4 separate regions of the Mus musculus genome follow, and regions 2, 3 and 4 are each reported to be linked to region 1. The links are microRNA targets in miRTarBase. Many come from high-throughput screens and were not tested one by one. Region 1 holds a microRNA gene; each other region holds the end of a gene's coding sequence.
The links. The annotated mature microRNA mmu-miR-466k reads UGUGUGUGUACAUGUACAUGUGA and lies in region 1 at 1,778-1,800, shown strand. An mRNA with a match to its seed (bases 2 to 7 or 8) in the 3' UTR can be bound and repressed. Matches are read on the target gene's strand: a 7mer-m8 pairs with bases 2 to 8, a 7mer-A1 pairs with bases 2 to 7 and ends in A, and an 8mer does both.

Region 2: miRTarBase lists Zfp691 as a target of mmu-miR-466k. Seed matches in the 3' UTR shown: 8mer at 832-839, 8mer at 834-841, 8mer at 836-843, 8mer at 838-845, 8mer at 840-847, 8mer at 842-849 and 15 more.
Region 3: the mRNA of Has2 is a reported target of mmu-miR-466k. Seed matches in the 3' UTR shown: 7mer-A1 at 365-371, 8mer at 366-373, 8mer at 368-375, 8mer at 370-377, 8mer at 372-379, 8mer at 374-381 and 8 more.
Region 4: the mRNA of Pik3r5 is a reported target of mmu-miR-466k. Seed matches in the 3' UTR shown: 8mer at 1,006-1,013, 8mer at 1,008-1,015, 8mer at 1,010-1,017, 7mer-A1 at 1,019-1,025, 8mer at 1,020-1,027, 8mer at 1,022-1,029 and 29 more.

Annotation. Positions count from the first base shown.
Region 1 is chr3:85,465,619-85,468,665 of GRCm38, forward strand. It overlaps Mir466k (microRNA 466k), which reads left to right and starts at 1,759; the gene lies at 1,759-1,880. The region is part of intron 1 of Gm31419 (a long non-coding RNA gene); the gene reads right to left.
Region 2 is chr4:119,167,585-119,170,631 of GRCm38, reverse strand. It overlaps Zfp691 (zinc finger protein 691), which reads left to right. Exons shown (of 2, transcript NM_001145936.1): 2 at 1-1,116. The coding sequence ends at 450. Among named protein-coding and RNA genes, the nearest start is that of Zfp691, 5.1 kb to the left of the region's middle.
Region 3 is chr15:56,664,952-56,667,998 of GRCm38, reverse strand. It overlaps Has2 (hyaluronan synthase 2), which reads left to right. Exons shown (of 4, transcript NM_008216.3): 4 at 1-2,372. The coding sequence ends at 340. Among named protein-coding and RNA genes, the nearest start is that of Has2os, 23 kb to the left of the region's middle.
Region 4 is chr11:68,495,717-68,498,763 of GRCm38, forward strand. It overlaps Pik3r5 (phosphoinositide-3-kinase regulatory subunit 5), which reads left to right. Exons shown (of 19, transcript NM_177320.2): 18 at 192-304; 19 at 393-2,130. The coding sequence ends at 534. Among named protein-coding and RNA genes, the nearest start is that of Pik3r6, 5.8 kb to the right of the region's middle.

The sequences.
Region 1 (3,047 bases):
TAACCTTCCCAGGTAACTGGCCCATTTGGGTCTGGTGTACCTTCAATCTCTCTTTTTTTATTTTCTTAAAAGAAACATTTGAGAGCTGAGCATCTAAGATGGCTTTGGATTCACACCCACTGTCTGTGGAACAGCTTGAGGCTGACAAGATTAGCTCGCTGGAACGCTCTGGGATCCGTTCAGCCTAAGCTGCTGCCCACACACCAGCCTTGCTCACAGAAGCTGCTTTCCGCAAGCAGCAGCCCGCTTCACCTCCTCCATCCTGGCTCGTGGAACTGGTCCTTGATGTCCTACCTGGTCTTGAGGACAGTGGCTTCCAGCCTCAACCAGTCCTCATTCCCAGATTCCAGGATGTGACCATGGTGATGTCTCAGCCTCTCCAGAGGAGTCCGAAGGGTGATACTTCTGTCCTTCCTCCTCCCATGTCTAATCACCTGATTTTACAGAACCCAGCATAGCGAGCAGTGCTGCAAGCTTCCTTCCCCTCCCTCGGCTCTCTTCTTCTGTCCCTTCTTTCTGTAATATCCAAGGGGACCAGACAGAGTGGGCCTTGATAACACACATTCCCTTGGCTCCAGAGCAGTAGCTTCTAAAACCTGTAAATAAGACAGCTCTATGCCCCTGTGTAGACATACACCCCAAGGATAGGCTGGCTCCCTGGTACCTGTCCAGAGTTGAGAGTTCAAAAGACAGACCAGTGGATAGAAATGCTATCATGCCCACCCACCCCCACCCCGCCAAGCAAGGCCTGCTGGCTCATGTACCTGGCCAGACATTACATGAGCAACGGGCAGTAATTGTTGTCTAATCTCTTCCCAGAGGTTTCAACTAGTTCCAAACTGTTGTGGCTAATAAAAACAGAGAAGATTTGCAAGAAATTCCAGGTGCATCGGAACACTTTGGGGGATTGTGCAGCCTGCAGGCAGACGAAACTTAACTCAAATAAACATAAGGTAATATGTGTTGGCAAAAGTAACCTGAAGTGGGAGTATACAACTGTACGTTTCAAATTGGCTGCTGCCTGTAAGGATGGAGATTGGTAGTAGCTCAGAATGGATGAAGTGGGCAGAGTAGCCAATGTGCATCCCAGAATAACCGAGGCAAATCAGATCTCATCTCACACAGACCCCATCAGTGGCCCAAGATGGAGCACATGACAGATTCCGCAGTCCCACTTTCTACTTTAAGGATGAGGAGACATCGTGGAGTGGCCTCCAGATTTAGGGGTCTCCTGTGAGCCAGGAATGTGTGGTCATGTTCTCAATGGAGCGAGTAAAAGAAAGTGTCTGTTTTTGTTCATTGAAGTCATTGACTCCAAGCCCTGGAAGCTGCCATGTTACCTCCATCTGCTGCCTAACTCTCAGGGCCACATTTAGATAAAGAGCCGAACTTCTGAACTGCAACAGCCCTGGACTTCAGTCAATTCCCTACTTTCTTACAGAAAAGAAAATATTGAAAAGCTGTATTATGGTGTCTTATATGAATGTGCTAGTTTCCAGGATGGGAGGGGCTGTATATTCACCTATATTCACACACATATACATGTGTGCATGTGATATACATTCATGTACACCCTCCTATAGAAATAAGTGTATGTGTGTGTGTGCATGCATATGTGTATATGTGTATGTATGTGTGTGCATATACACATGGGTGTGCATGTGCATGAGTGCATGTACGTGTATATGCATGTTCTCTATTGATATGTGTGTGTGTGTGTGTGTGTGTGTGTGTGTGTGTGCAGGTGTGTATATACATATATATGTGTGTGTGTGTGTGTGTGTGTACATGTACATGTGAGTATGTGTGTGTATATGTTTGTACATGTGCATGTGTGTGAGTATGTGAATATATGTGTATATGTGTGCATGTGCATGTGTGTGTATGGTGAGTAGGTGTTACTAATTGTGACTCCGATGGCTGTGTCTCCATCTGGCCTAGGTGACAGGTAAGCAACTGCACTGATCTTTCACAGGTAGCAGCAGCCTTATAGGGCAGGAGAAGACTGGCACCTCTGCACTGGCCGTGACCTTACCTGCAAGCCCCCGAGGAACAGGAGCTTTTTTACTCCTCCATCTTCTGGCTTCCCAAGCAGGTGCTGATATCTTGACAGGGAAGGGGAAATGCTCTGTCCTGGCCCTCTTGCCTCACAGAACTAAAAGCTAAACATGGCTTCAACTACCTCAGCGGCTTTCTTCTCCCACAACCACATGCAGTAGAGAGGCCCAGCGCTGCAGAATACATCTGTGATAGGAGAGGAGAGCTTGGATCTGGAATGTTCTAGAAAGTGATGGAATAATTTGAAATCCAAACTGTCTAAAGGCTGAAGAAGAAAGGAAGCCATTGCCACCTGCAGGAAGCAGCCAGGTCCTTTTGACCTCTCAAAGTTCTTGGCTGTGAGGTTCCATCATTCAGCTGATAAAACAGAGGAACAAATGTTACACAGGGAAGTTCACAGGAAAAGGGTCAGTACAGAGTGTGCAGAGCTTCTGGTGGTATAAAAGCCAGTCACTGAAAACTAGGGACATGTCCTCAGTCCTTGAGACCTGAAGTCATCTCTTCTCTTCTAAGCATCCATTATACCCAGGATTCCACAGCCCTAGGCCTTCTGGAAACAAACTTCATTTCCCCAAAAATTGTCTGCTACCCTAATGCCACCGGAACAAGTTTTTTAGCTCTTGGGTTATAGCTCAATGATGAAACACTTGCCCAGCATATACAAGACCCCAGATTCCACCTCCAACAACAACACAAAGCACGCCAGTACATCTCAGCCTGTGCAGAGGCTCAAATTTCGAAGGAAATAGGAAATAGATTCATTCATTCATTTAGTGACTCTTTCTCTTCTGCTGTGTATGAGACGCTGTGTTAGGCAACACCAGAAATAAGGTAAAGATTTAGCAGGTGACCACAAACGAGAAAGTGCAGTGCGTTCTCCACTTTAATCAGAGCAAGCCAGCAAATAAAATGTTCTAGGCAGTTTGTCTTGGCACCAGCCACAGGAATTTACCTGTGACATCCTAATAAAGAGGACACTGAGACATGAC
Region 2 (3,047 bases), not on the chromosome of region 1:
GAAGAGAAGCACTACCAATGCGCCAAGTGTCAGGAGAGCTTCCGGCGGCGCTCGGACCTCACCACGCACCAGCAAGATCACCTGGGCCAGCGGCCCTACCGCTGTGACATTTGTGGCAAGAGCTTCACTCAGAGCTCCACGCTGGCTGTACATCACCGGACCCACCTGGAGCCAGCCCCTTACATCTGCTGTGAGTGTGGGAAGAGCTTTAGCAACAGCTCCAGCTTTGGGGTGCACCACCGTACCCACACGGGTGAGAGGCCTTACGAGTGCACTGAATGCGGGCGGACTTTCAGTGATATCTCCAACTTTGGTGCACACCAGAGAACGCACAGAGGGGAGAAGCCGTACAGGTGCACCCTGTGTGGGAAACACTTCTCCCGGAGCTCCAACCTCATCCGACACCAGAAAACACACTTGGGCGAGCAAGATGAGAAGGATTTTAGCTAAAGGAGAGGCCTGCTTGGAGAGTGAGGGAGAGCATAGAGCCCACCTTGATGGGTGGAGGAGGCCTTTAGTACCTGCTGTGGCCTCCAAGACTACAAACCCTTCACTTTGCGGAACAGCCCCTTCTTGCCTTTGCAGTCAGGAAATCCTGAGAAGGGGCTGAGTAAACACCCTGCCTCTTCCCAGCAGGTTTTTTTTTTTTTTTTTTTTTTTTTTGCCTTGGAAATTCAGAGTGCCCACTCTTCATTTCCTCAGCTGTGGGGGAAATGGGATGGGCTCAGGACATGCTCTTGTGACTGGGTCATCAGTCATCAGTCCCCAGGCTTTGGGGGTAGTGCCTGAGACGGTGTCGTTGTCTACAGGTCCTCCAAAGTTGTCTAGCTTCACACACACACACACACACACACACACACACACACACACACACACACGGCAGTAGCCTGTGAGTTCCTACCTGCTGTGCCTCATCCTGTGTCAGCCTCTAGAGCCTCAGGCTGGGGAGGGGGGGGGGGCATGGCCCTCCTGGTGACCGGCCTCTTCAGTCTGAGAAGGAAGCCTCAGGGATCCACAATCCAGGGACCCTCACCCTCCCATGCTTGTTACCTGGTTTTCTTACCCCGACTTGTGTCTGTCTCCTCAGTGGTCACCAGTAAAACACTTCAGTGAAAAGAACCTGTGTACTTATTTGGGGATGTGGGGCACCGGGGAGAGTATTCCAGGGCAGCCATTCTGCAAAGGCGTGGAGTTGAATTCTGAGAAGGTGGTGGTTCCTCTGAGATGTGAAGGACAGCGGGGCCGAGCCTCTGGAGCCTTTGAAGAGGAGGGGGAGGGAAATGGTCACCTGAATGAACATCCACACGGTAGGCTGCTGGGTGTACACGCCATTCTTTATCTCATTCGGTTGCCACAGAAACCCTCCAGGGCAGAAGATGAAAGTCAAGCAGTGGGGTGCGGTGGGACCAGTGTAGACCTGGCTTCTTCAGCTCATCCGATGCTTTCTGCATATACTTTGCTGGCCTCTGAAGGAAGCTGGCCTAGAGGTGGGTGCTATGTGTGGCCTCTTGATAACAGCCTTGACCTCTTTGCTCTTGGAAGTCACATCACAATCAGAACCTTTCAAACTGGAGACTATTAGTTGAACCCTCTTGTGACTAGGGGAAATGGCAATGACAGGGAGTAGGGGGTTGGGGGTGGGGTGATATAAAAATTCTTAAAACCGGATGATAACGTTTCATTAATAGCAGTAGATTCGTCCCTAGGGCTCGGACAGTAAGGTTTCCTGTCCTCATTTAGGCCTGGCTTCACCAGTCAGTTTCTCACTTGGAAATTTATCGTTCACCCAGCTTTCCTTTCTTACCTCTTCCGTCAACCTGGGGTCCTGCCTCCCTGCGTAAGGAGTGCTCTTCAGTTGTGCCCAGTTACCAGAATGTTATTCTGGTACCAGAGTTAACAAGGGTATGGCCCGTGGCTTGACCCTGCCACTCAGCCTGAGTAGGATACACCAGGAACTTGATATGCGTGAACTCTCGCAGGTACCTTGAGAGGTAAAAGTGGATCCACACTTCACAGATATGGAAACAGGCTGCTGGAGACAGTGGCTTGTCCAAGATCACGGAGGCCATTGATGCCATGACTGCAAATGGAATCTGCTGCCCAGTGCTCAGGAATTTGATTTAAACTATAGAAGACTGGGATGGCAAGATGGTTCAGTGGATAAAGGGGCTTGCTGCCAAGCCTGACGGCCTGAGTTTGATTCCTAGGACCCACATGTTAGAAGGAGAGAGATGATTCCCATAAGTTTCCCTCTGACCTCATGCATACTGTGGCACATGTGGACACACACACAATAAGGAAATGTAACATAATAAATGGAAACTGTAGGAGACTGCTCAAATGACTCCCTTGCGTATGGAGAGTGTTTTACAGTTTGCAAAGCACTTGTATACATCTCTTCCTTCCCTTCTCTCTTTCCTCTCCTTTTTTCCTTTTTCTTTTCCCTCCCATTTCTTTTCTTGAATTGTGTGACCAGGCTTAACTTTACCTTAAGACTTGTAGCCCAGCATATGCTACACATTTAATCCCAGCATTTGAGAGGCAGAGTCAGGTAGATCTCTGGGTTCAAGACCAGCCTGATCTATATATCAAGATCCAGGACAACCAGGGATACATGGAGTGACCCTGTCTCAAGAAACAGAATGTACATGCCTGGCACCTGAGCAAAAACCTTAGGCATATAATTCAGCATAAATTAAATACCAGTTGGCCACTGAAGACAATCATAAGCATGTTGCTGTAGTGCCAGAAAGCCTGAAGAACTGAATGAACACCAGGGGGCGCAAGAGACCGTGAACTCCTAAAACCTCATATGAGAGACATGAGATCTAGAGCACGTGGGAGGCCAAGGCAGGCGAATCTTTTGAGTTTGAGGCCCTCTGGTCTACATAGTGAGTTCAAGAACAGCCAGAGATATGTAGAGATATCTTGTCTCAAAAACAAACAAACAACAACAACAAAACCCCAGTGACATCTCCCTCTAAATCATCGGAAGACACCCCTCTCCCGGAATGGGGTGGGCTGGCTATTAAAGACATGTCCCAGTA
Region 3 (3,047 bases), not on the chromosome of region 1:
AGTGTTATACATGTCAAGTCTACTTCCTGCCAAGATGTTTGCAATTGCAACCATAAACAAAGCTGGGTGGGGCACATCTGGAAGGAAGACCATTGTTGTTAATTTCATAGGACTTATTCCAGTGTCCGTGTGGTTTACAATCCTTCTAGGTGGTGTAATTTTCACCATTTATAAGGAATCTAAAAAGCCATTTTCCGAATCCAAACAGACTGTTCTCATCGTGGGAACTTTGATCTATGCATGCTACTGGGTCATGCTTTTGACTCTCTATGTGGTTCTCATCAATAAGTGTGGCAGGCGGAAGAAGGGACAACAGTATGACATGGTGCTTGATGTATGATGATGTTTGTAGTCACACCTGGAGACACACACACACACACACATACACACACACACACACCTTAGCTCCTCAAGGGGCTATACAGTATTGTGGCACCGCACCCTGCCACCACAGGAGACATATCACTGCTGCTGGGACTTGAACAAAGACATTCAATGGGGGTTGGTTTCTTTTTTATTCTGCCAAAGCAAATTGATACATCAGTGAGAAGAAAGTCCGATTAAATCTGACAGTTTTAGGACGGTGGGATGATGTCTTGGCTTATGCACTTTTCCCTTACTGTGCATCTGCCTGACAGTGTTTGTTCTAAATACCTCACTTGCCATGCTTTGTGTGGGTGATCATGGAAGAAAAGGATTCTGAAAACTCAAGGGAACGTTCTTTCAACCTACACATCCTAACTTATGGACTCTTTTGATAGCTGATGATTTTCTTTCTATTTTTTGTTTTTAAGGAAAATTGTTCATCTTTACCAAATGAAATGCCAAAGGAAAGTTGGAAAGCCACTGGCTATGCTGTATTTTGATATAATAATTGTACTGTGTTTTAAATTTTGTATCCGGATTTTTAAAAACAAAATTTCACACCATAGTCTATATTTTACTTCTCTGGCAAAATACACTTTTGTTCTTTTATATATATATATATATATATATAATAAAATAGGTTCTAAAAAAATCCATACTATAAAAAAAAATTAACCTGCCCAAAATGTGAAACGTGGTTGACTGATGTTCATGAAAGAATAAAATGTTTCTCTCTTTCTCTACATTTTATAATTGAATAGTTATTTCTGTGAAAAGAAATGTAAAGTTTGAATACTCTAACATTTTATTTCTTTTAGAAAGGGTCGAGATACCTGTCAACTTTTAGGTAAAAATACATACTCACATGTGTACAAGAGCCAATCATTAAAGTTGAGGCCGAAAGGGTAGAAAAGTGCAATTTTTGAAAATATATATTTTTTTCAAAAGGGAATCCTAGTCTTTGGAAAAAGCAAAACAAAATGCTGGGCTCCTTGTACTGGATAAATGTGAACATCCAAGCCAGATCATCTGGAGAGATGGTGGCAGTCTTTGCCTAGGCCTAGACAAAATGGAAAGCTGGTGAGACTTTATCTGTGTGATTGGGACAAATAGAATGCAATTCATTAAAAGTTTTACTCTGTGGCCTAAATGTGGCAGACCTTCTCACATGCACAATGAGTGTGTTTCCTCCAGTTAGTGTCTGGGTTCGCCAAGTCACCCTGCCTGTTAGTGATGTTTACATGGGCGAACTGTAACTGATACACAACACAATTCAGACCTGGCACATTTATGTTCCTAGTGGCTTCTTTACTTCTCAGGAAGGGTATTTTTTTTCTCAATTATACAGGTAATCTCTCCATCTCTTCCATACTTGGCCTTCCTAAAAATCTCCACAAGTAGAAATGATGTCAACCTGTAATTACTATTACTAAGAACTGGTAAATTAAAAAAAGTGACGCACCAGTTCCTCCAAACGTGTCTAATTCAGTTGTAACAGGGCCTCAGTTGTTAATTTGACTTTTCACATGATTTATCTTGGCTGGTGCTGTGTAGGGCTGTGAGACAGACACTCAGAACACAGGAATAGCTGCACAGAAGCCTTGTGGCGAAGCAAAAAGAGCACCAAGGTTCTGCTTCCTCACTGCGCAGACTACCACACCACACACAACTGTAGCGAGATACTGTCTAAGGGAAAGCTGCACACTCTACCTTGTGAGTACAAAGAGGTTCGTTCAAGTTCTGAAAAACTCCGACTCTCGCCGTATGGAGAGCTAGTGGGAAACAAACACACCCTGACAATAAATGAAACTAAAACTTGAGTTTGCCTTTTTAACTATTTATGTTCTAAGTTAAGCTTTGATAACGTTCAAATGTCAAATTTTTTCTCATTCTTATAAAAAGTTGAATTAATTGCCTTGTATTTATTTTAGCAATTATTCAATGTATTTCCATTATAGGATGTATAGTATAATTGATTGTTTTTGTAAATAAAATATTTTTGATAAGATGATGGTCTCTCTTTTCTAAGGGAAGGGTTTTGTTTTCCTCACTGTAATGGTATGTAGTTTAAAATGGGTGTGTAAAAAGTATCATGCCTGGTGTAAAATAATGTCAGCTAATGATTCTTATGCTGCGCAGAAATCTCCCAAATTGGTGTTATTGGGAAATCTGGGAACCGTCATAGCGATAGGGAAACCGTATCAACTAAATTAATCTTTGTCTCTGAGTTCTTTCTTTATGCACCCTCCAAAGTTGCCCAAATTAGAGAAATTTTTTTACTATATCAATAAAATCACAGTGAAGAAAAGCAATAAGCAGGTTTGTTTATTATTGCAGTATTCATAAAAATAACAAAATTCTAAAGTAACTAAAACTGACTAACATGGGCAACAGTTAAATGGTTTGTTAACATTATACAACAGCTAAATGGAACACTGCCAGCCACTAAACACGATGTAGTCAGAGACTGTAGGAGAATGTTGCGGAACTTACACTTGAAATATACATGACCATTTGTACATTAGCATCTGACTTTGTAAAGACCAGTGTTTAAATGTGGTTCTATCTAGTGATAGCAATATGGCTAATTTATATTCTGTATATACTTTTTGTATTCTTTTAGGATGATAAGCATGTATTGTCTTTACACAAAGAAAAATGATAATAAATATCATTTTTTA
Region 4 (3,047 bases), not on the chromosome of region 1:
CGAGACTCGGTAAGAGGCTGCGGAGGAGACAGGGCCTGGCATAGTTCTCATGATTCCTCCTCTGACTCCATCTCAAGAGCTGCCAGGCAGTCCTGTCTCAAACTCTCCCAGTCCCTATGGGCAAAGAAGCACCCAGGGCTGGCAGATGTATGACCGGGGCTCTGGGGCCTGAACTAGGGCTTCCCTTCCAGATCAGTACATCCTACATCAAAGTGGACAAGGTGCAGATCATCGGCTCTAGCAGCTGCCCCTTTGCCGTGTGTCTAGACCAGGATGAGAGAAAGATCCTGCAGAGTGTGGTCAGGTGAGGATGGGGGCCTGGGGAGGGGGGTCTTTCTTTTCTGTCCTCTGAAGCCTGCAGAGCCACCTTCTTACATCACCCTGTTCTATAGGTGTGAAGTGTCACCCTGCTACAAGCCAGAGAAGAGCAGCTTGCCACCCGAGAGGTCCTTCAGCCAGCCAGCAGAGACTGGGTCCGACCTGTGCTCCCTTCTCTGCCTTCCCATCATGACATTCAGTGGGGCTCTGCCCTAGTGCAGCTAGGTACGAGGCTGGGCAGGAAGAGTACACAGCTTCTCCTGGACTACTCTTCGGGGCAGCCGCTCTCTACGGAGAACAGAATTGCCCTGCACTGCATCAGGATCCCTCTGTAAGCCCTGCCATGGGCCAGGGATGTGGCCAGTGGTATCTGGAGCCCCTGAGAGCTGATGAAGAAACAAGCACTGGAGAAAGAAGGACCTGGGATGTCCAGTCTTACAGATGCCTCTAAGCAGAGGGAGAGGGATGGGCGAGTGGCCCCAAAGAAAGGTGTGAGGCTTGTCTGTGGTTTAGGCCTCCTTTCCAAGCCCTGAGCTGAGGTCCATCTTTGGTTTGTCCAAGACTCAGGGTCCCTAACTAGAGGTCATTCTCTCTAAGGCACAGATAGGAGAGAGATGGGTGAGACATTTCTTTCCTGGTCTCAGATACCATCTCTCTACCCTACCACTACCATCATGAGCACACATGCACACACACACAGACACACACACACAGATACACAGACACACAGACACACACAGACACACACAGACACACACACACACACACACACACACACACACACACACACACACACACACAGGCTTTCTCTCTCAAGTTCCCTGGATCCCTTGAAAAACAGCACTAATACTTGGTCCTTTGCTAGGACCTGGTACATTTTCTCTCCCAAGCCCCTTGCTGGGTCTCAGATGCTGGGGAGATGGGACAGACATGGTTCCTTTTTAGCTAAATGCCCAGAGGAAGTTAAGGCACTTCTTTGAGCCTCTGTTTCCTCAGTGCTGAAGTGCACGGGAAGTGGGTCCTCAAAGGGAGTGCCCTTGAACCTTGCCCAGTGCCTGGCTCCCAGCAGCTGCCCTGGAAAGACAGCATCTTGCCCTCCGCTACTGATGCCCTCCTTTGTTCTTGAACACTCTCAGGATAGTCCTTGCTTGGCCTTGCCCCACCTAGGGATGAGGCGGAACTCAGGCAGGCTAAGCAGCAGTCAGGAAGGGCCTCCTAGGTACGGATCCTCCCCCACTTCCCTAGCAGGTCGGTTCCCATATGCTCACTTCCTCTCAGCTGGAGGACTGGTGCACATTGTGTGCTCTGGACACAAGCTCTCTGGACAAGATCTCAGAGGAGCAGAGGGCAGATTGCTGAGTATCTAACGGTAGAGACATGCATGGAACCCAATACAGCAAGAGCCTGAAGTTTAAATCTGTCAGACCGGAGGGCTGGACAAGTGGACAAGATGTGGCTGGAGCGATAAGGTGGTGGGCTGGCTCAGGCCTTGGCCTGGCACCAGTGAGTAAGGAACCTTGGAAACATAACAAGTTGCCACAGAGTTCTTACCATCATGTTCTGCACCAAAGACCTCGGTTTGTAGAAGCCCAAGGAAACTGCAGAGGGCTCCTGACTTGAGAGACCAGATGGAGCCACTATGTTGTCACCCCCAGTCCTAGCTGACGGTATATCTGCCAGGTTCCGGAGCAGTGTCCAGCCATATATACCGGTGTGCTTTAACCTGCTGTGTGAGCATATTGTTCTACTGTATGATCAATATGAATCAGTGAATGCGATTTTAATATTATTATCAAATAAAATTGATTTATTGTATATTTGGTCATCTATAGTTATGTTGGAGCATGTCAGAGTTTACATGTATCACTTCAGGGCTGGAGGGATAAGTCAGTGGCCCTCGCTGCTCTTCCAGAGGACCCAGGTTCAGTTCCCTGTACCCACATAGGGTGGCTCACAACTGCCTGTCCTCCAACTTGAATCTGATGCCCTTTTCTGGCCTCTGAAGGCATTCACGCACACACAGACAGACACACACACAAACAATACAATAAAAATAAATTTTAGCATAAGTAAGGCTTTTGGAGATTATATAGTTTATTTGTAATTTTCCACTCTGCACAATATATATCTGTGCTAAAATTTCATTGATACTCCTCCATTTCAGCCTCATCATACACACGGACTCCCAGAACAAACAAACAACAACAAAATCCTATACATCTCTACAGTTTCCTGTATTACTTCACTTGAGAAACATAAGCCTGTATATCCTGATGTCCCCATGGGCCTGAGGCTCCTGTCACTGACAAGAGATAGAGGACCTGGGCCCATCATACTAGGGAGAGCAAGGGAAGAGGTAATGGCCATACACACCTGAGGGCGGCCTTTACACTCGGCATACAAGGGGGAAGAGGAGGTGTTGGACACTGGCGGACACCAACTCCAACATCCCAGAATAGCTGCATTGGATGGAGGGGGAAGGCTCTAAGGAGGTTGCAGCTTGGCATCAGTAGGCTGCCGTGCATGTCATTCTTCCCCACGCAGCCACAGACACTTAGGGTTCATCTAGTCTCAGCTGAGCTTGGCACGGTATGGTCGCAAGCTGTAGGCTGAGTCCGGGTGTTTCCCGTGGGTCTCTCGGACACCTTGAACTTGCGTGATTGGCCACCTCACCACATCTGCAAGCTTCTCCCTACCCCTAAAAGGGGAGGCAGTTCTATTCCCAGGGG